Lepisosteus oculatus: one gene and its partner. The protein of the gene in region 2 purifies or fractionates together with the protein of the main gene of each other region. This does not show direct contact. Links are inferred from orthologs where the notes say so. Each region holds a gene or a part of one and is shown on either strand. Other genes may lie near its edges.

What was found.
Region 1: the proteins of fam98a (region 2) and nufip2 purify together in Homo sapiens (co-immunoprecipitation; 3 studies listed by BioGRID and IntAct, with this or other methods). This does not show direct contact. The link is inferred for Lepisosteus oculatus from reciprocal best matches to the Homo sapiens genes FAM98A and NUFIP2.

Annotation. Positions count from the first base shown.
Region 1 is NC_090721.1:9,002,925-9,018,927, forward strand, and holds the start of nufip2 (FMR1-interacting protein NUFIP2), read right to left. Parts: upstream 6,209-16,003; 5' UTR 5,358-6,208; coding exon 5,213-5,357; intron 818-5,212; coding exon 1-817. UniProt on the Homo sapiens protein: Binds RNA.
Region 2 is NC_090712.1:17,468,403-17,483,923, forward strand, and holds fam98a (protein FAM98A), read left to right. Parts: upstream 1-7,914; 5' UTR 7,915-8,053; coding exon 8,054-8,091; intron 8,092-9,197; coding exon 9,198-9,346; intron 9,347-9,500; coding exon 9,501-9,635; intron 9,636-10,080; coding exon 10,081-10,265; intron 10,266-10,818; coding exon 10,819-10,899; intron 10,900-11,365; coding exon 11,366-11,482; intron 11,483-11,753; coding exon 11,754-11,921; intron 11,922-12,661; coding exon 12,662-13,333; 3' UTR 13,334-14,317; downstream 14,318-15,521. Other genes in the region: rasgrp3 (ras guanyl-releasing protein 3), read left to right, coding at 1,146-1,256. UniProt on the Homo sapiens protein: Positively stimulates PRMT1-induced protein arginine methylation. Involved in skeletal homeostasis. Positively regulates lysosome peripheral distribution and ruffled border formation in osteoclasts.

The DNA of each region.
Region 1 (16,003 bases), on a different chromosome or scaffold from region 2:
CCGTTCGCAAAGGCCGCCGAGGCGCCGGTCTTCACAGCGGACATGGGGACGTGAGACAGCCGGGCGGGCAGCGGGGGGGCCTGGCTCTCCTTGTTGAGGTTCTCCTTGACTTTGCTTGCATAACTGATCTTGGGGACAATCTTGGCGCTGCTGTTGTCCACTGGAAAGACGGGGGGGGGCTTGAACAGGGTCCACGAGTCCTCTCGGGGCGCCACCGAGCTGGCGGGCTTGACCTTGCCGGGCTTGTCCTCGAATTTCTTGCCGGGACACCCGGCCGCCTTGCTGTCCGAGTTCTTCCTCTGCAGCTCGCCCGCCGGCCCGGCCGGGACCCCCGCCGCCGGCCCGCCGGACCCCAGCTTGGCCCGGCTCGGGGGGGCGTCGGGCCTGGCCCCGCAGGGCTCGGGCTCCTGCGGCTCCTTCACGCTGTTGCGCCTGGCCTTGCGCTTCTTGGGCGTGGTGTAGCCGCTCTCCGACCCGCTGCCGTCGTTGTCCGCCGCCGGCCGGCCGCCACCGCCGCCGCCGGGGTAGCCGTTGGCGACGCAGCCCGAGCTCAGGGCCACGACTCCGTTCAGGAGCGGCGCCGGCTCCTTCCTGTCCGCGGGCCTGTCACTCCTGCTGTCCATACTGGTCTTATGACCAGGGCCGGCTTTGCTCCCCACTTTGGCGAGAGTGTCCGCAGTCCTGGCTGCCTGGCGGGGTCTGGGGGGAGGGTCTACCAGCTGCCTGCTGCCATTCCCGGGACCGAGGAGCTCGGCGGAATCGCTGGCAGACAGGATCTTCTCTCTCTCCGCTGCGCTGCCGTTTATTTTGCCATTTCCTACAAAATAACCAGAGAAAACCAAGAGTAAATAATGATACATAATTGCTGACACTTATATAGCGCTTTTCTGGACACTCCACTCAAAGCGCTTTACAGGTAATGGGGATCCGCTCCACCCCCACCAGTGTGCAGCCCCACCTGGATGATGCACCAGTACTCTCCCCACACACCAGCTCTCAGTGGGGAGGAGAGCAGAGTGATGAAGCCAGTTCAGAGATGGGGATTATTAGGAGGCCATGATTGGCAAAGGCCAGGAGGAAATTTGGCCAGGACACCAGGGTAACACCCCTACTCTTTTCGAGAAACACCCTGGGATTTTTAATGACCACATAGAGTCAGGACCTCAGTTTTACGTCTCATCCGAAGCATGGCGCCTTTTTACAGTAGTGTCCCTGTCACTATACTGGGGCATTAGGACTCACACAGACCGCAGGGTGAGCACCCCCTACTGGCCCCACTAACACCCCTTCCACCAGCAGCCTTAGTTTTTCCCAGGAGGTCTCCCATCCAGGTACTGGCCAGGCTCCCACCTGCTGAGCTCCAGTGGGCGGCCAGCTGTGTGTCACAGGGTGTGTCACTGCTGGCCGTAAGTTTAAAATCAGTTTAAAGGCTGCTGAAAAACCCCAGCGGTCTGAGCAGAGGTCTGTGTCGTCACAGATTTTTAATAGATCTTCTGCATCAAAACTGAAGTTCTAAGAATTTTAGATCATGTATGAGCGGTTATATTTCTGGTCTGGCTTTAGCAAAAAAAAAAAAGCATTTTCTTTTCTAAACAGGAAGAAGACGAGCACGTTACAATCTAATTCGAGTTCAGAAGTCGTGTTAAGTAGGAGACACTGCCGATTCAACGCCCAGCGCAATATTTTTTAGAAATGAAACTCAGTAACATTAACACTTCCATCCCACAGAACTGTTATAACACGTTCGTTATCAAATATTAGCTTAGCAACATTTTGGCAAATATAGCTCTTCCCTCAATTTCTGGCAGCTCTCCAAACAACAGAGTTCCTAGTAAGCTGCAGTGGGGTTGTGCAACACTTCATAACAGCGTAACAAACACAATCAAAATAAACAAGCTTGAGAGACCACCCCATCCCATCCTCGGAGCTCGTCTTTAACCTGTGTGGTCTGCTCCCATTTATAACTCCCACTGCAGAGAAAACGTCAAAGTCAGTTTCATACGGTGAATCGCCATCAACCCTCGGACCCCTAGCTTGTACAGCAAGAAGAGACCCTTAGCGTCTCTCCTCCTGTGTCCTCCACTGCAACAGCTGCAGCATGGCGAGAGACTGGCCCAGCCAGGCCTGGGGTAGTCAGCCCGAGCGCAGACGTGAAGACTAACCTGCACTGGAAGCCTGTGGAAGGGGCAGTATCCAGCCAGCTCCCCTCCACCCTTAGTGCTTGTGTTCTGAGTGAACCGTCTCCCTTCTTTCCCAGGACGTAAATCACCTCATGCTGCTGCCTCCCCACATGAACAAGCCCAGCAGGAAGAGTTTCAGGAAAGCCGGTCCCCTCTCCTAGCGGAATCGGGGGGGCCCCCCCACAAGCAGAAGAGGATCGGACGGGTTCTGTCTGGAATACAGACCTAGCTGCCACACACACACACACACACACACACACACGTCCTCCGAGAAGCTATTTTACTGTGGCAGTCAACCACACGAGGATCTCCCGTCTGCAACAAGCAAAGACATCGGACTATTTAACACCCGTCGATGCAGGTGCTCCCACAAGCACGACTGGCAGGGCTCCTACTCGCTTCTACCAGCAAAATGCCAAAGCTTTTCCCTAACTTCTCTTCCTGCATCATTTACATCTTGCACGTCCTGGGTCTTCATCCGTTCGGAGCGATAGCTTGTGTTTTTCACCTGCTAACCAGAGGTCACTGAAAACACATTCACCTGCCATTCTGAAATGGGCGCGAGGCGAGCTCATGGCTCACTATAACATTCCCGCGAGAGGGACTGACGCGGTGTACTGTTGCCAACGGCCTCTTTTTAAAAGTTTGCTAGCAAAATCATATGATACAGCCCTGATCATCTTGGGTCAACTTAAAAAAAAATCCTATAACTTTTCCCCAAAACGTAATGGATATTCTATTTTTTTATCATTTTCAAAACTTTTCCAGGTCTGGAAAATGAAATTTCACTTTCCATACCTCTTCCAGGATTTCCATGACAGTGGGCACCCTGTACCGAGGTAAAAAGAGCGCTATGTTTTCAGCATGAAGGCATTAACTGTGCCTATTACACGCACCCGAGCTTTTCACAGGCTTACACAGGTGTACACTTACCACAAAAAAAGGTTACTAAAATGCAGCCTTTCTAGGCTTTAAATCAAAGCTTTCCAAGATGCAGAAATCATCTCTCCTGCAGTTCACCTGATTATGTCCCATCCAATACACAGGGGATCTTTCTAGTGGCAGTTAGCACTGAAATACAAATCTGTGCTATTCCATTACCGTGCTGTCCAGTGAGCTCACAGGCACGCTACACTCCCTACACGTGTTAGACATGGTAGGAGTGAGCCAGTCGCTCCAGCCCAGCAGGCCAAATGCAAGACTAAGGTGAAGGTAGAAATGAGAACAACCACCCCACGCTTGCGCTGAAAGCGACCCTAGTCTGTCCACCACAAGCAGCTTTAAAGGAGCGAGAGAGGGCCTGTGGTGTCTTTGGAAAACAATGTGCGATCTATGGTGATAATCTGACTGATCTTGTGCTGTGACGGCGCCAGAACTGTTCTCTTTTTGAAAACAAAAAGGGGCAACGCTCCACTAAAACCCCATGTGATCGATTCTCCCCGCTGTTCGCGTGGCGCAGTGGGACCCTCTCCACGCCGCGGTTCAGGAGTGGTGGTGCTGATGCACACGAACTCAACGTCTGCCCTCACGCCAACTTGTTTTTTTTAAAAAAACTACACGAAGCGTAGCGTTCTCGGCCTCCCCGCTTCGCCATCATCCCCATTACGCGTCGGTTTGGCTTTTGCGAGCGACTTAAGGCGACTCCGCAACATGTTGCTGGGATTTGCCAAGAAGCGTGGAAGAGCTCGCTCCGCCTCGCGTGGCGCTTCCCCGGCTGCCGGAGCTCTCGGGCACGCGAGATCTCCACAAACTGCACGAGCAGCAGTTCTTCCGCCTCAACACGTTCCTTCTCCTGGTCGGCTAAACGCTTATTTAAAACAGATTAATCGCCCCCCAAATACCAAAAGTGTCCACATACACACACACGGCTTCCTATGAATGATATATGTGTACATACAGCTCAAAAGCATGGCCACTATTAATAAGAGCACAACCAGCCTCACGAAAACGGGTACACGGGCAAATATCCCGAGGAAAATGAAGATGCTATACGAGGGAAGAGGGTAACTGAGACCCGTGGTATTTCATTATCGACTACAACAACCTTCCCAAAAATAAAAAAGTATGTGCTACCAATTTTGGACAAAAACGTAAACTGGGTCAGTTCTCCAAGTTAACTAAAAAACCATCTTAAAGCATTGAGGTGCATCTGTAACTCGCGGCTTTATTTTAAACATTTTTCATTTACTGTTCCGTTTTCCTATTTTACGTGAAAAACGAAAATGACTGGGCACCCCGTCTCCGGGCGGGCGGCTGTCAAGTCCTCTCTGCTGCCGACAGAGGAGACGGGTCTCCGGCGCGGCCTTGCACGGAAGGACACCGTCCCAGGACACTAAAAACACGACACTGGTTTGATCGGATCTTTGGAAGATTCGTCTTTGCGGGTATTTTGCTGCATTTTTGTTGAACACCGGCTCTCCGATTGTAGGCCCCCCCCGCCGCCGCCGCCTCCGGAACAGCAGAGAGCAACAGGGCCCACAGACTCAAGGAGAGCGATCCGGGGTCTCAGTAAAATACTACGCTGGCGCCCACTTTCACCACACAAAACGAGAAAATCAATCCCCTGAACTTCCCGGGGGTGCCACGACGGCACCGACAGCTGTAGAAAGTCATGGTTTGAGAGCCCGGTGCTGGGATTTTCGCTACCAACATGGCGGACAGGAAATAGCAGCCGAGTAAACTGAGGAAAAGCACATTCCAGCGGAGCCGGCTTGTGTTGGTAAGGGGGGAGACGAGCACTCAAAACCCCGCGATTTTCTCAATTAAAACTGGCCCTTTCGCACGACCCACCCCGAGACAGTTCGAGAAAAGAGTCTTTTACTGTAAACCAGCGTGCCAGGCGGCGTCCGCCCTCCTTAGATACGTCTAAAAAAAGTGACCAGGAATCGCTGCTAACCGGCAGCACAAGGTCAATCTCCATATTACAGACAGCTACCCTCCGCCGTCTCACAGTGGAGACTCACGCACCCAACTTCCAGCTCAAATAATTCCCCATCTTCAGCTGTTTCTGGCCTTAGCTAAGCAAACCCGACCTGTTTTCTTCGCCTGCGTTTCCTGGTGGTGGTGCTGGCAGTGGCTCGGCTCATTTTTCAGCGTTTTCCTGGGCCGGGTCGGGCTCCTCTCTCCTCCATGGTGGTAGCGCTGCTGAGGTGCCCGCACGCTGGGCTGTTCCTCCATTGAAGTGTAGCAGGAGACTCCCCGGCTCCGGCCAGTGCGCACTGCTCACCGGGCTCACCGAGCGAGAGAGAGTGGGGGGGGTGCAGGACCGCGGCCCTACCCAATCGACGCCGCGACCCCAGCGCTGCCTCGCTTGGTCTCTGCTGCTGCCGCTCCGGCGAGAGGCTGGACCGAGAGGATCAACGTCAGCAGTCAGCCGGTGGAAGTAGCGCCGTCGGCACCGCTCTCCTCTCACACCAGGCGAACCGTGCGTGTAGCGTGTGCAGGCACGGGGCTCTTTCGCTTTGACGTTCCTCGCCGGTCTCACGGTCTTCCCCGCCGAACATGCATACTGTACATGCTTTTAAATAAAATAAATACCCCTTCGTCTCGGTCTTGGAGTGCTCGGTGGCGGAGTCATATTAACATTTTTTTTTACTTCGATACTTAGTCATACACGCAGGTAGCAGTTAAATACCTTGATAGAGAGGGGGTGCATTATGTACCCAGCCCGCATTCCTGCATTTCACCCAATTTTAGGTGTAAAGTTTAATTGCCTGAACCCCCCCTCCCTCCTCCTCTCTCTCTGTCTCTCCACCCCCTTGTAGCGAGTTTTCCAGAACGTTACTTCAGCCTGTTACACGGTAACCCATTTTTAAACTTCTCGTCGTCACGTGTATATGACTCAAGGGACCCAGGCTGTCTCGGCGTCTTCTTATAGACCGGCTTACAACTCACTTACTGGCCCAGCACCTTCGGAAACGTGTTTTTACTGTACGGTATTCACAAAGACCCGGCACCTTCTGACCCGGTCTCTCGTCACATGAGCGTGACGCTCACGCTGGGCAACCTCTCCCCCAAACACAGTCCTGAAAAACAAGTGTTTCAGCGTGCATGCATCTATACTTATTACCCATACGTGCGATTCTAAATGTTATGTTCTTGTATATTAATCAGTCTCCAACCTATAGCACTTAAGGACTATTGTGACAAGGTGACCGAAGTTAAAATATAGGCTAATTGTCATAGCGCAGAGAAGAGATGCTGGTTTTTGTTTTTTAGAAAGGTTGGTTTTCCTCCACGAAAAGAGATCACTCGGGTGTCATTAAGCACGTGTGGCTGACTAAGCGAATACCGGCAGTTCCTTCGAAATCAGGTGGTTTGCTAATAACACGCAGAGGGGTCGCAATCATCCCTCTATTAATGCTTTTAAGGTAGAATTCCTCTTTTAAATCTTTAAAAACAAAACAGCTCCTCCTCTCCTCCTGTGACGTATATGAACAATCTTAGATTCAAACACCACCCAGGTGCTGTAAGACGCCGCGAATTGTAAGCAAGTAACTACGCGAAACTGCTTTGCTTTATTTAAAGAGCAATAAGATGCATGTTTCAGCAAAAAAAAACATTTCAGTTCAGCATTTTTAAACATCCTTTTAAAAAAATGACGCTACGCCCAATTCTGAATAGGGCGCAGAATGAGATTACTGAAGGCAATCTTCAAGTAGAATAAAGGATTATAGGAACAAGTAATAGGTTTATTCCATGCTGAAAACAGGAAGAAAGAAAACAACGTTTCGGCCGTGGAGCCTTCTTCAGAATTGGGGGTAGCGTCATTTTTTGATACCAGATTATATACCAGTAAAATGTGATGAATGAAGCGGCAGTTTAAGGGTGCTTCTGCAGTTCCAGTAAGAGAAAGTTTATATTACACGTGTATAAATATAATGAGTATACAGATTTTTAAACAACATGTTTGCCTTAGTTAATATTTTTTCCCGAATACGCCCCGGTCCGGCGGTATCACATTAGCAGTAGCCCTTATGAATAAACCTATTACTTGGCCCTTATGAACCGATGATCCAATAATCATATTTAAAAGGCACGATTATATAGAGCGAACAGTTTAATAACAGTTCAAGTGCTCAGGGCTATGGTAAAGAAGCCGCTGAAGAGCGCTAGGAAGGTATAGGGATACCGAGGACGACGATCCTGCAGAAGCAGTTGCAGCTCTAGTCCGGTCCGCCGGAACAGCTATTTGTAGAGACATCTAAGACGCCACCACCCACCCCCTTTCCCATTATAACCAGGCCCGCACCTGCTGCTTGTCACACACAATCAGGAGCGGGGTCGTCAGGCTCGGGGAATGCCGGGCTGGGGCACCGCGGGCGAAGCTTAATGAAAGATCCCTCGTTCTGCCGGAACAAACTCTTCGGCGTGCTCAATGGGAGGCGGGGGCGCGTCCCGTGAATGTAGGGTGAATTTTAGAAGGGGCGCCCCTTTTGTGAAGTCCGACACCCAGTTACACAGAGCTGCGCTTCCAAACGGCAGGAGACGCTCTTGTGAAATAACGGCATTCATAGGCAGGGCCATCATTTAGAGAGACATCCACGCTTTATTTAAATGTGGGTCTTGCCTGCCTATATTGTTAGTACATTATAGCTAGGTTCAATCGCAAGGATGCGATTTTCAAAACATAAGCAGGTCTAAGACATGCTAAGAAAACTAATGGTAGCAGCCGAAAACGGCGCTGTGTCACGCCACGAGTCACCCTTCACTGAGTTCATACTGGGTGAGCAGCACAGGCGTTTTGAGGAAACAAACAGAGCGCATTTTCCATGGCGAGAGGACAATCGTGATTCACACAGAACATCCTGGAATACAGGACGTATTGGCTGTTTGCTTTTCAAAACCCTTCTGCACAATCTCCATGCTCCGCGGCGCCCGCATTCCTCACACCCAGAGTACGGTCTCACCTGCACATGAATCACCGCTGCAGGTACAGCACCTGTCCCCTGCGGTCCAACAGCTCTGCTGTCCTCTACTGCCTCCTAGAGGCTGTAATACGAAGATTTTTATAGATATCAGAATGAGAAAATAATCATCATCATCATCAGTATCATCATCATCATTGCTTACACTTATATAGCGCTTTACAGGTAATGAGGATCCCCTCCACCACCACCAGTGTGCAGCCCCACCCGGTATCACCTGACTTAGTTCAACTTAACTGCACCACAGTAGGTCACTTTAGCGTATATTCACTTGCTAAAACATTTTGTGTGTGCACGAAATTTCGAATGAAGTTTCCTTGTATCTGTCTGATACAGTTAAACTCGGGAAAACATCACACGCTCTATATTATAACCACCAGAAATGACAGGTTAATTGCTTTTAATAATAAAAACAACCCAACCCAGGGATAAGCTCCAGCAGCTGCAACCTTTCCCAGGAATAATAATTGATTTCAGATTTTAGAAGGACGGATGGAAAAACCGCTGCATGACTGAAAGACTCCCCCTGCTGGCCAAGGTTGTAACTGCGCTTCCTGGCGGCCCCCCTCGCTTCTACGGAAACTGCTGACGTGCCGCCTTCCTGGCGGTTTCACAACCCTGGTGACTGTAGAAGAAGCTGATTTCGCCTGTAATTAAAGAAGAGGAACAAAAAAACATAAACAAAATAAAAAGGACGTAAAAATTAGGCTCATGTATAAATCACAACCATCTAACATAATTTTTGAAAAAATAATAATTCTGGCATTCACACAACAAATTCAGATCCAGGCCTCCTTGCAGGACACTGTTGTTTTTGCAGTCTCCCTTTCTGAGCTTGGTGTTTTGCTGCATACAAATTTACTTCCTCTCAGTTCTCAGGGACCACAGTGCCCTGAATCTATAATTCAATGCACTGAATTAATGTGAAGAATTTCTGTTTTGGAGTCGTTTGCTCCACACAAGAAAGGGGTGACTTTTTTTTCTTTGGTTTGTTCATCACCAAACTTTTCTTCAAGCACTGCAGCTTTCCATAACAGCTTGCAAACTGCACAAAGTAATTTCCATCTCACAGAGGGTCACGATTCGCTGCACAGGTGCTTGAATTTAGGAAAGACGACAGTATACAGTGCCTTGCGAAAGTATTCGGCCCCCTTGAACTTTTCAACCTTTTGCCACATTTCAGGCTTCAAACATAAAGATATAAATTTTTTATTTTATGTGAAGAATCACCAACAAGTGGGACACAATTGTGAAGTGGAACGAAATCTATTGGATTTTTGAAACTTTTTTAACTAATAAAAAAATGAAAAGTGGGGCGTGCAAAATTATTCGGCCCCTTTACTTTCAGTGCAGCAAACTCACTCCAGAAGTTCAGCGAGGATCTCTGAATGATCCAATGTTGTCCTAAATGACTGATGGTGATAAATAGAATCCACCTGTGTGTAATCAAGTCTCTGTATAAATGCACCTGCTCTGTGATAGTCTCAAGGTTCTGTTGAAAGCGCAGAGAGCATCATGAAGACCAAGGAACACACCAGGCAGGTCCGTAATACTGTTGTGGAGAAGTTTAAAGCCGGATTTGGATACAAAAAGATTTCCCAAGCTTCAAACATCCCAAGGAGCACTATGCAAGCGATCATCTTGAAATGGAAGGAGTATCAGACCACTGCAAATCTACCAAGACCTGGCCGTCCCTCTAAACTTTCAGCTCAGACAAGGAGAAGACTGATCAGAGATGCAGCCAAGAGGCCCATGATCACTCTGGATGAACTGCAGAGAACTACAGCTGAGGTGGGAGAGTCTGTCCATAGGACAACAATCAGTCATACACTGCACAAATCTGGCCTTTATGGAAGAGTGGCAAGAAGAAAGCCATTTCTCAAAGATATCCATAAAAAGTCTCGTCTAAAGTTTGCCACAAGCCACCTGGGAGACACCCCAAACATGTGGAAGAAGGTGCTCTGGTCAGATGAAACCAAAATCGAACTTTTTGCCCACAATGCAAAACGATATGTTTGGCGTAAAAGCAACACAGCTCATCACCCTCAACACACCATCCCCACTGTCAAACATGGTGGTGGCAGCATCATGGTTTGGGCCTGCTTTTCTTCAGCAGGGACAGGGAAGATGGTTAAAATTGAGGGGAAGATGGATGCAGCCAAATACAGGACCATTCTGGATGAAAACCTGTTGGAGTCTGCAAAAGACCTGAAACTGGGACGGAGATTTATCTTCCAACAAGACAATGATCCCAAACATACAGCAAAATCTACAAAGGAATGGTTCACAAATAAACGTATCCAGGTGTTTGAATGGCCAAGTCAAAGTCCAGACCTGAATCTGTGGAAAGAGCTGAAAACTGCTGTTCACAAACGCTCTCCATCCAACCTCACTGAGCTCGAGCTGTTTTGCAAGGAAGAATGGGCAAGAATTTCAGTCTCTCGATGTGCAAAACTGATAGAGACATACCCCAAGCGACTTGCAGCTGTAATCGCAGCAAAAGGTGGCTCTACAAAGTATTAACGCAAGGGGGCCGAATAATTTTGCACGCCCCACTTTTCATTTTTTTATTAGTTAAAAAAGTTTCAAAAATCCAATAGATTTCGTTCCACTTCACAATTGTGTCCCACTTGTTGGTGATTCTTCACATAAAATAAAAAATTTATATCTTTATGTTTGAAGCCTGAAATGTGGCAAAAGGTTGAAAAGTTCAAGGGGGCCGAATACTTTCGCAAGACACTGTAGACAGACATTTGTGTAAGAGTCGCAGGGCATGAGAGGGAGGTCTGCTTTACCTCTGTTCTCCTCACCCTACAGCATCTTCTCGAAAGTTAGAATGAAAAGAGAGAATCTGAGGTCACCATATCACCCTGCAACGCACAGCTGGCAGCCCACTGAAGCTCACTGCTCAATGTTGCTCGCAAATGATATTGCTTCTTTTGTACTTCAACTCTTTCTTGCCCATTTTCCTTCATTTATTAATCGTTTAACCTTTGTAGGAAACAGGGTCCAAGGGACAGGAAGTTAACTGTCCACTGGGAGGCGCTCTGAGTATCAGATTCCTGAAGATCCACCTTGCACATCCCTGACTTCAGTCACACAAATATTCCAGTGATGGATGGAACTCTAAGAGTAATCCTAGCAAAACCCAGCAACTACCCCAGTTCCAAACACTGTCTGAACCCTGAACAGCACTGGTTCCAGTATTGGTCTCTATTTCTCCAGTATTACCCTCGAGGAGCACAAAGGGCAGTTCAACACTATTCAGATTAAATCCAGTTTACTGCACAGTAGTGTTTTCTACATTAGAAGAAAATTAATGTGAAGTCCAGACCGATATTTTCTTTAAACTTCGGTATGGACCCATTTTGTGTTTGTAGTTCTTGTTGGGAGCAATACTAAATCATACAAGCCCCCTCACAAACTCAACGACGGACCAAAATACTACTAAAGGTCTACAAGTAACACAGTTTACAAGAGACTGTCTTTTGTGTAGCAACAGGTTAAGATCAGGCACAGGCCCAGGTCAAATGTCTGGGTTCTGTGAGCCAGTGGGTGCAGTATTTAACTGCGTGTTCACGCCAGAAGCCTTTTGGGATCCATGTGTCACTTGAGTTCCAGATTAGTTAATTATTCACTTAACTGAACATATCTGACCCCTTTTTCGGAGGTGTTAATTAGCAACACGTTAAGGAGACCAACAACTCTGACCCTCAAGGATGGGACTGAAGGAACGCAGACATGAAAGGAAGAGTCCATGCAGGAGGTGTCTGCACTCACGGAGGGCTGTCCTTAGCGTCTGCTGTCCTGCGCCGATCAACCAGGAAACGGTCATCTCCTTCTCCGCGGCCTGAGAACAGCCTCAGGACATCACTGGTCATCCCCTCGGCTGACCTCGGCCTCTCACCCTGACCACTCTCCCTGTGCTGTTATTTACAGGAGATAATTAGCACTTTGAGAAAAGAGACTGTCTCTCACACAAGCTGGAATGCAGTTCTTCCCCAGTCTTTCTGGTCCTGACTTTTTTTTTAAACAAAAGCTATCTTTTATTGTTTCGATTTAAGTCCAAATTCTCTTAAGTCAGCAGCTTTTTAAGCTTCCTCTCATTGTCCTAACACTGGCTTTCCAAATCTCCACATATAGCTAAGAAATTCAAATATGATAAGAAAACGGCGCTGTGGCTTGTGGTGTAGTGTGCTGGTCTGCGGTCAGGCAGTAAGGGGCTGGATTCAAATCCAGAAACTCCAGACCCTTTTTTCATTATGCCAGCAGCCACATCACCCTGCAACTCACAACTGGCAACTCACTGAAGCTCAGCAGTGTGAGCCTGGTCAGTACCTGGATGGGAGACTCCTGGGAAAGCTAAGGCTGCTGCTGGAAGAGATATTAGAGGGGCCAGTAGGGGGCGCTCACACTGTGGTCTGTGTGGGTCCTAATGCCCCAGTATAGTGACGGGGACACTATACTGTAAAAAGGTGCCGTCCTTCAGATGAGACGAAAAACTGAGGTCCTGTCTCTCTGTGGGCATTTCTCGAAAAGAGTAGGGGTGTTACCCTGGTGTCCTGGCCAAATTTCCCCCTGGCCTTTACCAATCATGGCCTCCTAATAATCCCCATCTCTGAACTGGCTTCATCACTCTGCTCTCCTCCCCACTGAGAGCTGGTGTGTGGGGAGAGTACTGGTACATCATCCAGGTGGGGCTGCACACTGGTGGTGGGGGAGGGGATCCCCATTACCTGTAAAGTGCTTTGAATGGAGTGTCCAGAAAAGCGCTATATAAGTGTAAGCAAATATAAATTAATTATTATTAATTAACACTAAAACCTATACGCAGCAGTGATGGAGATGAGATTTCCATTCAACAGTTAAATACACTGTATTTAAAAGAACCACTAGAGGGCAGTGCTGTGTAAGCAGATATTTACATTGGCGGGGACGAAAATTCCATTTAAATAATACAATTATAATAAAACCCTCTATGGTCTTTAAACAGGAGGATCCTTTGTTGAAAATGCAGCAGAACACACCTGAGGGCGACCAGACTGAGGAACAGCAACACAGCAGCACATCCCTAGTTCTTCACAGTCCAGCACAGGCAGACCTTACAGTAGTTGCCAAACTCCAACAAAGAAATGCCTGAAAAAGAAAATTATGTTGTGTTATGCACAGAGTGATTAGAAATAATTTGTTAAGACGTTTCAGATAAAGCTCTCTCAGCTGCTTAGAAAGCAATGTTTTGCCTTTAGAAAGCAATTCCAGCAGCCCACTGAAGCCCAGCAGGTGTGAGCCTGGCCAGTACCTGGATGCGAGACTCCAGGAAAAAACTGAGGTTGCTGCTGGAAGAGGTGTTAGTGTGGCCAGTAGGGGGCGCTCATCCCGTGGTCTGTGTGGGGACACTATACTGTAAAAAGGAAGAGACGTAAAACTGAGGTCCTGATTCTCTGTGGGATTATAAATCCCAGTGTGTTTCTTCAAAAGAGTAGGGGTGTTACCCTGGTGTCCTGGCCAAATTTCCCATTGGCCTTTACCAGTCATGGGCTCCTAATAATCCCCATCTCTGAACTGGCTTTATCATTCTGCTCTCCTCCCCACTGAGAGCTGGTGTGTGGGGAGAGTACTGGTGCATCATCCAGGTGGGGCTGCACACTGGTGGTGGTGGAGGGGATCCCCATTACTGTATAGCACTTTAAACTAGTCCACTACTATTAAAGCACTTTGAGTGGAGTGTCCAGAAAAGCGCTTTATAAGTATACGGAATGATTATTAAAGCTGTTAACCTTTCTAAACAAATGACAAAACTAGTGTTGAAAAATGTCCTGATGACTTTTAAACCATCTGAGCCCTATGTGAGAACCTTTACAGAACACAGAACCTTTCCTTTCTCAGACAGACAGCCAGGATACACAGAAAGATGATGAAACTGTCTGATGGACGTTTGGACATATAGACAGATCACAGACAGATGGATGGCAGATACTGTAGATGGAAAGGCATGTTACAAACAGGTAGACAAATGGATAAAGAGATTACAGACAGATCGGTGAAAAATGTCCTGGTGTCTTTTAAGCAAACTGAGCCCTGTGTCCATCGCAGAACCTTCCTTTACTCGGACAGACACATGGACACAGACTGATGACGGATGGACGGACAGACAGGTGAACAGAAAGATCACAGACAGGCAGTTGTGTGTGGGCGGATGGGAGCCTTGATGCCTGTATAATTCTTGTCCCATCTGAGTCTCAGGGGTCCCGGACAGCAGGAATAAACGGCGCTGGAGGGGGGAGAGAGGGACGCGGGGAATTTTTCCTTACATTCCAGGATTGACAGGGAGTAACTACAGGACATGTAGCGGCTTTTTGTTTCTTGACAAATGTAGGCATTTGCCACAGTGTCAGCAGGAGCATAAATCACAGGAGATCAGGGGTCTAGTCATGTCATCCCCGAGTGAAAAGCTCCAGGTTTTAATTGCACACTGTGAGTCAGTGTAATGTTAGGCCTGGGGATTGGCGATGTCGGGCTGGCGCTGAGCACGAAGAGGACCTGGAAGGGCCTGCAGGAACGCTGAGCTCGCTCCACGCTGACGGCAGGGCTTCTCGGGCTGGTCCCAGGCATTTCTCATTCAGCTGGAATGTGGTGTCTCACCCAACCCGGCGCAGGGCACTGGGAGAGGCACAGATTCCTGGCTCGGGAGAAAAAAAACAACCAGCTTTTCATTTTTCACAATAATAATAATACAACAAAACCTTATCTTGTATATCGCCTTTAAAGGTGGATTCTCAAAGCGCTTTACAGAACGAAAACAACAACAATACAAAATACTCGAGACATGAGAGGAGACAGTGGATGGGGATACTGAATACAGCAGGAGCAGAGGGGCAAAGAACAGAACCAGTCGAGTTAAGACTTATAACCAGTATGGCCCAGTACTTATAAAAAGAACGCACTATAATGTCTGGTAATGAACCTTTTGCAAACACCAGCCTAAACCATTTTGGGTGGATGGCATTGTGAGTGCAATGAAGTAGTTCAGGTGGGGAGCTGCGTCAGCATGCGTAGGCTGCAAAGGAACAAGTAATAGGTTTATTCCATGCTGAAAAGAATTCTTTCTTCTCTTTTCAGCATGGAATAAACCTATTACTAGTTCCTTTGTAAGTGCAATGCCTTGACTTTGACCCAGAACAGTAATGAAGGGGGTAATCTACAGTATATGGACAACCCCAATCCGTATTTTACCCCCAAAACAGACACAAAAGCTACCCTGTACCCTCCCAAACAATGCAATCGATAAGAAACTACTGTCTAAAACCATTAGCACTCTTAAATTCTATTCTGTGGGTGAAGTGCCTCTCTAGACTTACAAATAAGGATTTCCTTTCTGAATCCCTTCAGATCACTCACTGCCCCTTGTTCTTTGGTTCACAGTTTTTCCAGCATTCACACAGAAGTTTGACAACATTAATGTTGCTGCAGAGCGGGCTGCAAAATGTCGTTAACCCTTTCACACACGCATCCCGAAAACTAAAACAGTCAGGGTCCCCGCCGTGCCGCTCCAGCCAACCCAATCGCGCCGTGGGCGAAAAGGCGACGCGGAGACCGCCTGAGGAGAGACACAAGCGATGCCCAGCTCGTTTCGCAACACGAACAACCGTGCGCCCTCCCCACGAGTTACAGGGCAGGGCGAGCGGCTCACCCCGGGCTGCATCGCCGCGGAGAGAGCGCGCAAACCCGCGAAAAGCTGCCATCGGAGGGGAAAGGCTGGAGCTCAGCCGGCGTCATCGTTTGTCATCCAGCGCCGATGATTAACAACCGATGTTTTGACACTCCGTTTTGAGTATTAAAATGTGAGCGCAGTATAACTAACGCTCCACGCCCCGGGGCGAATTTTTTATGGCCGGC
Region 2 (15,521 bases):
GTGCATATCAAAGTAGAGATTAGCTTTACTGGGAACTGAAATGAACAGCAAACTTACTTCAAGGCCGGTGAAAAGAATCCTGGTTATCCAGATTTTAATAACCATGGTGACGGTGTCGTCAAGGTCTCAGAGTAACTACTACTGTTACTCTGTTGATCCCAAGCCGTATTCATCCTAAACTCAAGGCTGGCTAAAGATGTACTTTCAGCCTTATGTAAGGGTTGCCTTGTGACACCAGTCGGGTTTGGAAACTCTCGGGTGCAGCTGTGATGTTAGGACATAATGCCACAGGCTGCCTCCTGTTTCAACAGCTAGGGAAAAACCTGGACAGAGGGAACAAAGGGTATGAATGTGATATAACTTGAATTGACAGTATATAAGGAAAATTCCTGAAAAAAAATAAGTATTTGAAAAACAAACAGTTGCTGAAATAAGGAATCTAAAGGGGAATAATAATATTTTTTCCCCTACCTTCAAGTGGACAATGAGATCACTCCTGACAATGAGATCCCCACATCTTAACATATCTTAAACTTCAACTTAAAACAGATTACATTCTATATAAAATACATTTTAGCACTGAAGTCTCCCTTTAGGAATTTTGGGTAATCACAGATTTCTCAAATTTGGCCCATGTGTCAGTCTTCACATATCCCTCCCTCCATCCACGTTCTAACTGCTTCATGAAACTCAGGGTCACGACGGAGCCAGAGCCCGTCCTAGCACGCAACAGGCACAAGGCAGGACACACGCTGGGTGGGACACCAGTCCACCACAGAGCAGGCAGGCATGGATACAAACGTGCACACACTCACACCAAGGCCCTGGAATTTCCCTGGGGTTAACCTGCCAGGAGGCGTTTGGACTGCGGGAGGAGACCCATGAGAACGGGCATGTACAATATCCACTCAGAAGGCACCCTGGATCGGAATTGAACCCAGGGCCCCGTCACTGCCGATCACTGTGCCACCACGTCGCTCGTGTACAGCTTACATCTGACATATATCTGACAAAAACAGGGGAAAATTAAAAGCCTTTGTCCTGACCGATACAGCCCCCTTGTGTTCACTCCCTGTCCAAGATTTCTGAAGGAATGTGCTTGCTCATGAAATCTGCTTTGCCGCTGCGCTCTGTCGACAGGACAGCTGACTTCCTGCCAGGTCGGACGCGCCCGTGAGCCTGCAGAGGCCCCCCCGCCCCCGGCCCCGGAGGATCATGGGAGACGTGCTGGGCTGCCTGAAGCCCTGGCTCGCTGAACTGGAATAGCCCCGGCTCGACCAGAAGCGGGCCCCCGCGCTCCAGCAGGATCGGCGTATGTGGAACCTCACGAAGTGTGGCGGGGCAGTTGGCGTGGCCTAGGGGCAGTGCCAAATTCTGACGAAGGGGAATGGGGCACTTCCTCAGGTGGGCTGAGGCCCCACGCTACAGACGGCTGTCGGTCTGTCTCCCCTCAGCCCACCCCATGGTCTTGTTTATGTAGATGTACTCAGCAAATCCCGTTCCACACAGCCTTCCCTCCTCCTGACTCTTCTTCCCTGTCCTTTCCAACCTGCCCGGACAGAAACTGGTACCCCAGTTGCTCAGACTGAGTTTCGGTATCTTCTCCAGTGGGTGGCTACGGGCTGTACTGCGTTTTTATTGACTGAACAAGAAGCCAGTGAATGAAATCTTCTGCATCCTGGCCAGAATACAGTACACGAGGTTCACCTGTTACTGGTACCAGTGGAAAGTGAACCTTATTTCTTTATGATGAGGCTAAAGAGACAAGAGATGAAAAACAAATGAGAGAAAATGTAGAGAATGCAGGTAAGATGGCAATAGTATACAGAGAGGAGGACAAATGTATGTGAGACACAGAAAGAAAGTGGATTCATGTCTATACAGAAAGGACAGAATAGTATATACTCCACATCTGTAGCGCAGCACTAACAGTGAGTATGGCTTCAGTGTCTGTTTATCAAGTCAGGCTTGACCGAGGTAGGAATAGTTCAAAAAATGGAAAAAGAGTTTCAGTTTGGACTACTTTTGAAGATTATGGCTAATTACGCATGTTTGCCTCTAGGAAAGCTCTATTTTTTTTCAGACTGTTGAAAGGGAGGTTTTCTAAAAACTTGTTCTTTTTTTTTCAAATTTGAAAAGATTTTATCTCCTAAAAGCGGGAACATTCTGGTAGAGGGCAGACTCAGCACAGATCTCAGACGGGATGCAGACCCTAGAAACACCTGATTGGGGTTGTTTATAGGCTGTGTTTTTAATTGAAACATAGACAGATAGGGGAATAACTGTTACCTGAGAGTGGAAAGCTAAATGTGGCCCCCTGGCTGTTGAAAGACTCTGTGAAGTCAGCCGGGCCTTGTCAGCTGGCTGTGGAAGAGAACATTCTAGAAGCACAGCCAGGTGCTGGAGGGGTGTGCGAGACCTGTAACGAGGCATCCACAGCTCCTGGTGAAGGACGTCTCTCATCCAGAGCTGAGCAGCACAGGCTGATTGTTACCTGAATCTGGGAACATGAAAGCCTATCCTCTCCCCACCAAGATGGCTCATAAATACATGTAGACCCATCTTGGTGTGTTAGTCAGATAGCCCACACTGTGAAGCAGTTTGTGTGAGCAACTGCTTTTAGACACAAGAAACTCTGTTAAAACTGAAGTAATGGGGCACTGGCAGGTTATGTCTGCAGAGAGACCGGGTAAGGTTGAAAACTGCCAGTGGACAGTGGATACCACCCAGTTGAATACAGAAGGCCAATGCCTTCTGAAAGGCTGATGCTTTTTGAAACATCTCAACATTTTAAATAGACCATTTAAAAGAGGAATCTTCATTTATTAATGGGTACTTATGACAGCAAACCATTTTACTTTTCTTCATCATTAGCTGGAATTACAATACATGTTTGAGAAATATTCTTGATATCAGGAAACACCCACACCAACAAAGGGATTACATGATAAAGGCTCCTGTATTCTCCACTGACAATCTTGATGTAGATCTACAGTCGCATATGTTCTATAAAGTTTGGGGCTCATCCCAAGTTGTATTGTTAATATTATTAAAATAGCTGGTCTACTTGAAAAATAAGTTTTTTTATTTTTTTACAGCTCCTGAAATTTATGTCATTTATGTTGTTCAAATGTTTATGAAGATTATTCAGTTAGTATTGTTTTGAATACAAAATGAAGAGTTAAATTGTAATTTATGAGCTAAGATCAGTTTATTGTACTTCGCTAATGCCTCAGTATTTCTGATAAAATTCCAGATCTCAGCTCCTTTGTCAATCTAAAGAACACCAGTGAAATTCTTTATCGTTAAATGTTGTTTGTAATGTAACAGTTTATTATGAATCTACACTCTCTGGCCTGAATGCTAGGAACCCCCAGAGAGGAACATGAGGTCCTGTTTCATTTTTGACCTTCTGAAGTCAAAAAACGACATATGAGTAGCCTGTAGTCATGCAGTGTTTGTCACAACATTTTGTAACAGGTGGAGTCTGAGAAGAACTGCAGCTATTTGGTTTGAGCTGTAGTTTCCCATCCTCTTGGTCATGCAAGACAGCATTTTAATACTCAACATTGAGACGAGGAAATTAACAGGACCTCCTTCTGCATGCAAATTCCTCCAGTGTGTTAAAACTTCAAGAAATGATCCAGAATTGTTTGCATTTTGTTTGGATTTGCAGAAGGTTGCAACCCAGTTCCATTTTGATCTGCAATAGGATCACCTTCGGTTGAGAATGTGAGGTGGATGGTGATGTTTGGGATTGAATTGATTTCAGTTGCACCAGTTTTCAACTGGAGCAATCCTTGTAGTGACCAGGGCAGTGGGCGTTTGTCAGCGTTTGTCTGGTGTAAAAGTGCCAACTGACAATCTTTTCAACAAATACGCCTTTACTGTGGGGGAAGAGACACATTGATATGTTACCTTTAGAGAACAGAGAAGCCTCTTGGCTCTTTCTCTCTAAAGCAGCTCAAACACCAGGCCAGAGTTTGGTCTGGCTGTGCCGCTGAGTGACTGTAACTTGACCTGTGTCGACTTCATTTTCCGACATGCTGTGACCAAGCCATGTGAGCAAAAAGAGCAGATGTTTCTCCTCACTGCTGCTATGTTCCCCTGGCATAAACAGAAAAGTAAATCCTGAGCAAAACCACTTTCTACTGTTCTCGCAAATCAAAATCTATGTACAAATTTGCACAATGTTGGTAATACACACCTTGACCCAACACAGCAAAGTGGGCTTGCACAGGTATCCTACTGTATAATTTACTAAATACAATGCATCTCTTTTCTGCTGCTGGTGTGCACATTCTGTTTTCTGTGCCATCATGCTGTGGTCACTCAGCTCCTTACTTTCCAGAGTATTGCAACTAGAAAAAGCAGTCAGAAGGATTGTGAATTACTTGCTTTTTTCCTGGCAATTGATCAATACTTGAGTAACTGTCTAATGATAATTAGTAAACTGCACGTTAATATAATTAGTAGTAGTGGTATTACTACAGTACTTTATCCAAGACAACCTACATTCTAAACAATTATTTTGTGAAAAATAAATTGGTTAATTGATACTTCAGCTAATATAGCAATTCTGCTATGAGTAATAGGTTCTAGGTGTTTTCATCAATATACGACACAGAAACAGGACAAAACAAGGTACAGACACTTGGAATCCGTTAATTTAGCATAAGACCATAAGAATTACACAGTCAAGCACATGAGCCATACAGAAAGAAACATCAGGAGCCCTGCAAATCATTTCAGATGTTGATTTGATAGATTTTGTTTCAGAAGAGTCCCACACAATAAATTGCATAAAATTAACAATAATGTTAGTTTAAAAAATGATTTAGTAAAGTTGGGTAGCATGGCGGCACAGTGGCACAGTGGTTAGCATTAGTGCTGGGCCCCTAGGCTCCATTCCTGACTGGGGGGGCTACCTGTGTGAAGTTTGTACAGGTATGTTCATGCAGGTTTCCTCTGGGTTTCTGGGAAAACTGGCCTTGGTGTGAGCATGTGATATCCGTGTTTGTGCTTGTCTGCCCTGTGATGGACTGGTGTCCTGTCAAGCGTGTATCCTTCCTTGTGTCTGCTGTTTGCTGGAATAAGCTCTGGCTCTCCTGTGACCCTAAATTACAAGAAATTATAAAAAAAATAAATGGATTGATTTAGTAAGGCACTAAATTTAAAGCCACTTTTGTTAAAGCTTTTTGCTCTGCTTGCCAGCCATCCGAAAGGTCAAAGTGCAATGATGTCATCTCAAATCCTTACATAGTATCAGACTCGTGAGTATCAGCCTCATGAAGTCTTAGCCCTTGTCTCATGATATTACGCAGTGCCTGACTAAAAAGTTAAATACAGTCAAAAAACAGAGTATCTCAACACTTTAGGACATGTCCCCAGATATCCTTAGGCTAGAGACCGCAGCATTATGGTTATTTATTGTTTTCTGGAGCTCCTAGTCATATCCAGTGCATTATGGGAGTTCTGTTTCTATGTCACCTAGTGTACAGAAATAAAAAATCAAGCAAGATTGAAAAGGGGGTGCTGTGGTTTCCCCAAAAGCTAGATTACAATACTTATCTCCCAAATTGCAAATGGTTCTAGCCTAAGATAACCAGAACACGTGCAAAGAAAACTGTCAGTGATGTATCTTCAGAATTGAGTCTCCATGTGGACAAAACAAACTTTTTAACAAATGCCCTGTTTTTAAAACTGTGGTTGGAAAAAATGTTTATGGCCAAAGTTTATTTTAGGGGCAGGTTATTTATTTCATATTTCAATTTGTGTATATTTCTACAAAAAAAAAGAGAAAGATGTTGTTTTCTTTTTCAGCCCCTGCAGGAGTTCTCCTTGTCCACCTTGTCCACTATTTGTGTGTATTTACCAGTGTCTTTATCAGTCTGGTTCTGCCGGACTGCCACTTCTTGTTTCTGTACCAGGAAAGGCATTGCTTACACTGCATCTCCCACTCTGTGAGTCAATAAGTATCCTGTGCCAACACTGAGGCATGCCGAACACTTAGAAAATCACATCTGGTAAAAAGTGAAAGCAGAGGTTTATAGACAAAACTGTTGGTGATCTTTGTCAAATTGTGGTGTTTACTTGTATTTTCATCACTATTATAATTTCAAACCTTTAAACCATTGAGGGTAAACAATAAAGACAATGATTATGAGTAAATCTGCAGACCTCATAATACTGAACTAGTCAAGTTAGGATTTTTCAGCTTTCTTTGTTTCAGATTTAAAGTTTTGTGACATTGTCTGTTAATCAATAAAATAATATGCATGGACATTACTGTTGTTGTTGTTTTTATTCCCATTATGTGGAATGCAGAGTCCAAGTCCTTTCTTGTAGACAGCAGGCATTAACACAAGATTCTCTTTTTCCCAAGTCAAAAAGAGTACCTGTTTGAATGTCTTTGACTTTGTATTTGCAGCTTAAATCATGTGTTTTACCATGGTGAGGGTACTCTGAACCCTGTTTTCGTCTAGCGGTATCCTTTCCAATAGTTGTGTTGCGACACAGTTGGCAGTTGCCTGCTTCTGAAATCCTTCCCATCAGTCCTTCTTCAGTACTGCCAGCCATTACAGAAATGAACCCTGAACGCCAAAGTCTGGTGATGTCTTGTCCAGCTTCCAATTAGAGGAATGGCTCATAAGTGTGGCACACACGCAGAGTCGGACCAAGGTTAAGACCTCAGAGCTCTATGATTTCTGTATTTTGTGATTCTAATGGTTTATGAGAAACACTGCTCATGACACTAGCCGCCCCCTAATAATAATAATAATAATAATAATAATAATAATAATAATAATTTCTTACACTTATATAGGGCTTTTCTGGACACTCCACTCAAAGCGCTTTACAGGTAATGGGGACTCCCCTCCACCACCACCAGTGTGCAGCTAACACTGGTTAAAAAATATTCAGCCAATTCACCCCAAACGTAGCTCTTCCTCTTGATTTAGCTTTCTAACAGAAGTTACAGATCAGTCGAGAGGGCTGCCTGATTGACAGTTTTTTTCTTACAACTCAAACTGCTTCTGTCTCTAGAGCTGCTTCATCGGTTGAATCAAACGTGATGGATTTCATCTATCAACATACATGCTTCTGAATTACACCTCCCAAGTGCAGCAGTTATTTTTCCCATTCAATTGGATGAACCGGTTGTCAACTGCTTGTTAAACCTTGTGCTGTTTCTGTTCAAGAACAATTCTCTCCAGACTTGGTTGGATCATTCCAATGACAATACAGTTAACGTACAAAGGAATAGAGGGTCCTGCACAGGTCTCAGCTGCCAGGAACTACTTTGTCTTTGAAATTATCGCACAAATGGACTACACTTGTCAGGTTTCACCTCACTACAAATTTCTTCATACTTGTATTGTACCTCACCAGTTGAAAAGCCCAGATTTGCTTAGCTGCTGAAGTATCAAACAAGCATGATTCCCTCCTTTGGTTTGGAACCTTATATGTTGTTAATTACATAGGTATATAACAAAAATGAAATCACGCATTTAAGTTAGGACACCCTGACCTTAACTTCGTGGCTACAGATTCAAAGTCGCAGGCGGTCTCTTGTGCTGCGCATTTGAACCACGAGCTTAAAGCAAAGGTCAGGATCTGCGCAGGATGTGTGCAGAAAGAGCTGAGTGACGTCGCACGTAGCCAGTAAGGAACGCGGAGCTGCGCAGATACTGCCGGGCTCCGGGCTGCAAGAACGCACAGGCGCAGCTGCGTCAGCCAAAGCGAAGACCCCTGACGCGAAATGATGCTCTTCGGTGCCTCAGCAGTAACAATACGCGCTCATACCTCTTCGAAAGATTCTAACCATATTTTGTTAATAACGAAATGTGGGTTTTTGCGTATTGGTGTGGGCGTACGTGAGACGCAGCGTTTTTACTGGCGACACAGGCACGGCGCTGGCCGGCCCTCGCCGAGTTGAGAGGTCGGGTTAGGACCCCGGCATGCCAACCCAGCACCCGAGTGAGGGCAGGCACGTCTACTTTGATTTTTTAATTTCTGTCCTTTGATCATTCGGAGGAACGTGTCGGGGAAAATGGAAAACGACATACTGGACGCGTTAGAAGACCTGGGGTATGTGAAACTGGTGATGTGATCAAACGTGACAGGATTCCGCGGCTGTTTGCTCACAGTGAGGAGTGTGACACAGCGCGACTGTCACCAGCGTGCTGGCAGCAGTGTTTCTATTCTTAACACAAATACGCGTTACGAGTTGTGTTTGAATCAGAATGAATCGAGTCACTGTTGTTGTTTGGATGTTTCACCGGTAATGTTAGACTCCGCAAATCGGCTGCCCTCCTGGCGCTTCGTGTCGGTAAAGGGAGTTTCAGCTGTTCGATATGTTCATTATTATCCACTAGGGCTTTATAGAAACATTACTAAAGACGTGGCTTTGATTTCATTTACCTGACATTCCTTGCTGGGTTATCGTTATTTAAGAGAATTATGGCGTTGCCGTTATGAAAACACCGTATTATCCTGTGTTTTTGTATGACTTTAATTGTGTTGCTGTGAAAACGTGAACGTGAAAGACCAAATATTTCATAAATTGCGTTAGGGAAGACCTCATTTATTTTCCCTGCATTAATTGCACGGCGCATGGAACCCAAGACTTCTTATTATTGTACCTGTAGGACTCTGTGAGCTGTATCTATCACAACTTTAGTAACCTGCTGAATAAATGAAGCCACTGTAAATGGCCGTTTCATTTCTTCAGAAATAAAGTAATGACATTTTACCTTGGGGTTGTGGTAACAGGTCAGACATCTTGCCCGCCATCCATCCGCTTTCTAACCACTGCTTCCAGTTCAGGGTTGTGGGAGAGCCAGAGTATATCCCAGCAAGCAGCGGGCACAAGGCAGGATACACCCTAAACAGGATGTCAGTCCTTCGCAGGAGGCACACACAAGCGCACATACTCAACAGCAGGGCCGTTTTCCCAGAAGCCAGTTAACCAACCAGAGCACCCGGAGTAAACCCACGGAAAACCCAGGGAGAACATATAAGATCCATGCAGAAAGCACCCAGATATTGACCCCAGAACCCCAGCGGTGCCAACCGCAGCGCCACTGTGTCACTCTCCATCCTGTGCACTCAAAACAAAGTCGAAATCGGTTTGAAGGGTCTGGAAAAGCCCCGACGTCGCTGCGTGTGTTGATAAAGCCCTTTGCTCTTGGCAGCTATAAGGGCCCTCTCCTGGAGGACGGAGCGCTGGACCAGGCAGTGTCCAGCGGGGCAGCCTCCCCCGAGTTCACTAAAGTGTGCGCTTGGATTGTGACCGAGCTCAAGCTCTACTGTAAACTGGAGGAGAACATCCAAGCCACCAACAGTAAGAGAGAAGCCTTTTCGCTTTACTTGTGTGTTTCGTCTCAGCGAGAGTACATTCTGCAACCAACTCTCTTGTTCTCTGTAGTAAATTCTGAGCAGGAGACGTATCTGAATAAAAGTAGTTTTCCAAAGCAGGCTGCCTCTTGTTTGCCCAGGTCCCGGGGAAGCAGAAGGGTTTCAGCTGGAGATCAGCGGCCTGCTGTCCGAGATGATGTGCCCCTATTCTGTTCTCACGTCAGGAGACGTCACCAAACGGCTTATGAACAAGAACAACTGCCTTCTGCTGATCAGTATGTGCACGACAGTAGTCCATTCTTAAGTGAATCATTTGATTTCCCAGAAATGCTAATAACGGCAAAGCACTAAGAAATCAGACTGGAAAGCAGTGACACAGACAGAGGCACCACGTTTCAACACTGCATAGTGCAGAAAACAAGCGTGCACAAATACAGTGATGCAGAAATACTAATCGAATGTAGCCTGTTGCTGTAATCAACTTTAGCACAATCTTGCACTAGATAGAGAAATGCTGTCTGTTTCATTGGTTGCCCTGGAATTTTCAGTTTTTACATTTATTTAAGTCTCAGCACTGACTTAGTATCCGTTCTTTCCTCATTTGTGTTACTGAACAGGTTGATAGGATGTAACTGAAGACCCCACCGTTCCTGTTGAAAAAGAAAATATAAAAAGTCTGTTTAGTGTTCTTAGATTAATGCATGTTTTAATGCCCTTCAGCTTACCTTATTTCTGAGCTGGAGGCCTCAAAAATGATCATCGTCAATAGACCGCAGAAGAAAGTGCAAGAGGCAGGAGGCAGTGAGGTTTTCATGGAATTGAAGGGGATCTGCATGGGACTGGGCATGTCCAAGCCCCCTGCCAACATCTCCATGTTCCAGTTCTTCAGTGGCATCGAGAAGAAGGTACAACACACAGCTCAGCTGGATTCTCCTTGGTATAGAGGCACCCCTCACCAGACCTGAACTCAAAACACACAGATTTCCATGGCTCGGCATTTTGCTTAGTAATTAGGACTCTGATTCTAAGTAGAATTGAGCTATTGAACATTCTCATGAGACAGGCAGACATAAAACCCGGACTGGTGTTACACGGTCAGTGCATTAATTTTCTGCTGTGCTCCAAACTGGTCATATAATTCACATTATTATCCAGAACTACCATCTAAAGAGCACAAGAGTGTTCTGTGTAATGAGGGGAATTAAGGGGGTTAAATTGTAATATGGGATTAGGAAAAAGAGGAGATATATATTAGTTTTAGTGTGACTTCTCCCATAAAAAAAACAGTGTTCTGTATTGAGTTTTGAAACCTTGGTTCTTAGACCATGTTTGTAAGTTCTTGTGTTTGTTTGCTTGAAAACCCAAATCCAAGTTCTTATCATCGTGCATGGCAGTTTTGGTCATGAAGGGGGTCCATCCAGTTTAAAGTTATGCAGGTGTCTTTGTCTGGATCAACAGCTGAAGGAAGCTTTGTCCAAGGTGTCTCCTTATCACGTCGGAAAGCCCCTGATGAAGAAAACGCTGGGACCAGTTCACTGGGTAAATACTGCAGAAAGTGTTGACTGCTGGTGGAGGAGTTATTGCAGGATGCAATCTGTTGTAAGGCAGATAGTTATTTTAAAACTCAAGAAAAGGGTATAACAGACACAAAAACAGTTTATAAATACTTGTATTTTCTTGTAACTGTAAACAATCAAAGGGTTTTATATAACGTTCCTTATTTTCTGTTATGGCAGGCCCTATTTCACTTCATTGACGGGAACTGTGATGAATATATATTCGTCATTTACATTAGCACCTTAACAGACAGAAGAGAACATGCAAAAATGCAAACACTACTTTGCTAGTAGGTCTGAAATACTCCAGTGCAGTTAGTCTTGTTTTTCATTTTGCTAGCATGATATTGCACCCTCAGGAAGTACTGGCTGTGGTGTTGGTAAGGGAAAGTGCTGTGCTTTGCTGTAGCACAATGTAAATGTAAAGCACATGATGTGTCCTTTGGCAGGAGAAGGTTGAAGCCATTAACCAAGCCCTTGCAAATGAATATGAAGTCCGGAGGAAGATGTTGTTGAAACGTCTTGATGTAACAGTTCAGTCATTTGGTTGGTCTGAAAGAGCCAAGGTAAGATGTTCAGTGAAGCTGAACCTTTTCTGCAGTGCTGTATTTCTTATAGATAAACCTGTGCTACTTTAGATTTTGCTTTAAATTTTCACACAGTGACAAGGACTCAAAGAAAATGTGTCGTTTTTCTTTGCTCAGTGACCCTTCATCAGTCCTCTTACGCTTGTGCATTGCAGCTGTAAACGAGGTGTGTATGTTGAGACAGAATCCTGGATGGTCATTTTTACTTCGGCTTTAACCACAAACTTTTTATTTTTAAATCGGAATTTAGGCTCACACTGAAAAGTTGGCCAAAGTGTACCAGCCAAAGCGTGCAGCTCTCGCTGCGAAAAGCACCGTCTCTGTAGCTCATCTCTTCGCTGCGCGGGAGGATCTGTCCAAAATCCTAAGGACGAGCAGTGGGAATATCCGCGAGAGGACTGCCTGTGCCATTAACAAAGTAAGGAGTCACGGAAAAACGAATATACTTTTACCCTGGTGGTGGGGAGGATTGATTGTTTGTGCCAAAAAGAGAAGATGGCTTTTTTTAAATTGAAGAAAAGGAGTTTTTAATAATAATAATAATAATCCCTTATACTTGTATAGTGCTTTTTTTGACACTGCACTCAACAACCTCCACCGCCAACAATGTTCCCCACCTGGATGATGTGATGGCAGCCAGAGTGCCCCGGTACGCTCCCCACACACCAGCTCTCAGTGGGGAGGAGAGCAGAGTGATGGAGCTAGTTCAGAGAGGGGGGTTATTAGGAGGCCATGATTGGTAAAGCCATGACTGGGGTAACATCCCCACTCTTTTGGAGAAATGCCCAGGGATTTTTAATGACTGCAGAGAGTCGGGACCTCTGCATCACATCCGAAGATGGCTCCTTTTTACAGTATAGCATAATTTACTGGGGCATTAGGACCCACACAGACTACAGGGTGAGCGCCCCCTCCTGGCCCTACTAACACTTCTCCAGCAGCAGCCTTAGCTTTCCCAGGAGGTCTCCCCTCCGGGTACTGACCAGGCTCACTCCTGCTGAGCTTCAGAGGGCTGCTGGTTGTGAGTTGCAGGGTGATGTAGCCGCAGGTGAAGTGAAGCTATTCCACTAACGCTGCGGAAGAAAGAGGTGCCCTGATGCAGCTAGCAGGTGTCCTCGGTATCGAGCAGAGGCAGATTTTCATGGTTGTGTCTCCTAGGTGCTGATGGGCCGAGTGCCCGACCGAGGCGGGAGACCCAACGAGATTGAGCCGCCCCCCCCAGAGATGCCCAGCTGGCAGAAGAGACAGGACGGGCCGCAGCAGCACGGAGGAGGCGGGGGTGGGCAGGGGTACGGGGGCGGCGGGGGCAGAGGAGGGGGCAGAGGGGGCTACGAGCAGCCGTCGCAAGGGGGGCGAGGAGGCTACGACCGGGGGGGCAGCAGGGGTGGGGGGGGTGGAAGAGGAGGTAAAGTACAAGGAGGCTGGTCAGACGGAGGAGGCGGCGGCGGCGCGTACCAGGGCAACTACCAGGGCGGGGGTGGCTACCAGGGTGGCAGTGGGGGGTACTCCGGCGGAGCTTTTCATGGCGGCTTTCAGGCGCCGAGTTACCCAGGAAGTGGATACCAGGGTGGCGGGGGCAGCTACCAAGGAGGTGGAGTGGGCGCGTACCAGCAGGACAGCCGATACCAGGAGGGGGGGCACCAGGACAGGGGGGGGCGCGGAGGGCGAGGGGGCCGGGGCCGGGGCAGTCGTGTAGGCCAAGGAGGAGGCTGGGGAGGGAGAGGAGCGCAGAACTACGGCCAGGGAGGGCAGTTCGAGCAGTACTTCCAGCAGGGGGGCTATCAGTATAATCAGGCGGGCTTCGGCCAGGGGCGGCACTACGCCAGTTGAGGACAGCCCCGCGGTCATTGCAGCAGAGCTCACACGTTCGGAGATGAGGAAGGGGGGAATACGCCTTAAACCTTTACAGTTTGCACAGCGACAGTGAGAGCCTGGCAGGAGGTTGAATCTTTTTAATTTGTGCTGGTAAAGGAATTTTGTCAGAGAAAACCGAAACCTGAAATTTTCCTTGCCAAAAAAAAAAAAGGGATAGTTGCCAACAAAAAACAAGTCACATTGTTAATGATTTTTATTTCTCACACTGGCAGTTGTTGCTTTTGATTTTTTTTAATCATATAACAGATGTGACAGTACCTATGCAATCTTTTTTTTTTGTATTGTAATAGGGTGTTCCTTATGTGGGAGAAGAATTATTCCTCATATTTCTTTTCACTCTGGATCCTGCTTCTAAGAATTACCTTCAGATGATTTAATTGTGTCCCACAAGCTGAAAAGACAATATGAGCTCTGTTGTAGTCACTAAAGCTGGAATTTGAATAGCCTTATCCTCTGGATTATTTGAAAAAAAAGGATCTAGTCAAAGTCAAAGTTCAGAGGCTGAGTATTTAATACCACTACACTTTATAACGGTCTGCAAAACTACATGCACATTTCACCAGGTCTGGGGCTCAGAAACATGCTACCGTGTAGTGAAATTCTTGCAGTCCACCAATAGAGTTGTTTGACTTGAAATTTACTTGAAAGAAGTTTTCTTAAATTTGCTTTAAGCATGAGTTTACAAGGTTGGTTCAGCAAAAGTATGAATGAGTTGGTGACAGAACCATGGCCATCTGGGAAGATGACCTTGTGCACCCGGAGGTCTTCTGCTAATGCTGCACCCTTCTGCTGACCAGCCCTGCTTACGTTTTTTGTTACTCAAGAAGGACAAGAAGTGACGTGATACCGTTTGTTGGCTAGTTTGTGTACATAAGTTATGAGAAAATGCTGGAAAGTGTAACTAAATGACAGGTGAGCAATAAAGAAAACTTAAAAATCTGTTTTTGTCTTTGTATATAGGAAATGAACCTCACAGTGTGTGCATGTGCTTATTGGTGATTTTGCAGCAACATTTAAGTAATCCAGTGAAGGGAGCTCATACCTCAGTTTGCCTTGGCAAGGCCCAGTTTGCTGTAGTCTATCCCTCTCAGTGCTGCACTGTTATTGTACCTGACCCTCACCCTTCATCTTGCTGGTTCTGGGCCCACAGGATGGCTGCATGCAGCTGTTTTAGATGATTGAGGGTTCGTAGGTGGTCCAGGTATTCATAAGAACAAACGAGAGGTTACAAATTCAGCCCATTTGGTAGGTGGCTGGTAGTTGGTAAAAAAATCTTATCCAGCTTCTTGAAAGAAACCAGGATATCAGCTTCACCCACTTGGCTCCTGTAGGTACTGTAGCTTGTTCCATACGCCCACAACCCCTTTGGTAAAGAAGTGTCTTCTGGTCTTGGTTTCAATGACAGCAGAACTTGCCTGTTGAATGGCATCTCCAGGCCTGGCTCCAGGAATTGAGTGTATCTCAGATCTCCGTTACAGTCCAGGTTCTTTTGCACTTTTTTTTAAAGCTTCTCAAGTCTTGGGTTTGCTTTTTTTTTTTGTCTGGAACCTCACCTCAGACCTGGCCCAGCCAGGAGCCCTGGGTTCTTGATGACGCAGCTGAGCGGTTCAATGAAACACAAATGTCCCTCCACCACTACAAAGGTGTCAGTTCATTGACTGCCAGGAACTCTGGGACAACCTTGTGCTGCTGGACATTGTGAAACCAAAAATTCCCTGCTGCGATAACCAAGATATTTCCATGAAACTGTAACATTTGAAGTATCTTTCCTATTATACAGTTAAGGAGTAAAAAGTAATTCTCTACTTTAAGCACCTCTGCTCAACAGGAGTCTCCGGTTCTATATTCATATTCTACTTGTTCTATACAGTTCCTCCCTTACTGTGTGGATCTGACTGACAGTGGACCAGCGCAGCCTGACTCAACACTGGGCCTAATAGGTGATTTCTTCTTGCGGGCTGTCATAGCAAGTTCCAGTTTCGCTCAGACTGTCTTGTTTCCTGACGTCTTGCCTCTTGAAGATTTTTCAGTCAGTTGGCAGCTGGGAGCACTCCATCTGCCACAGAGCAACCTTTTCACTCAGCTCAGCGCTAGTACTGACCCTGAAAACATCAGGCCTAGTGCTGGCTTTTAGTTGCAAATA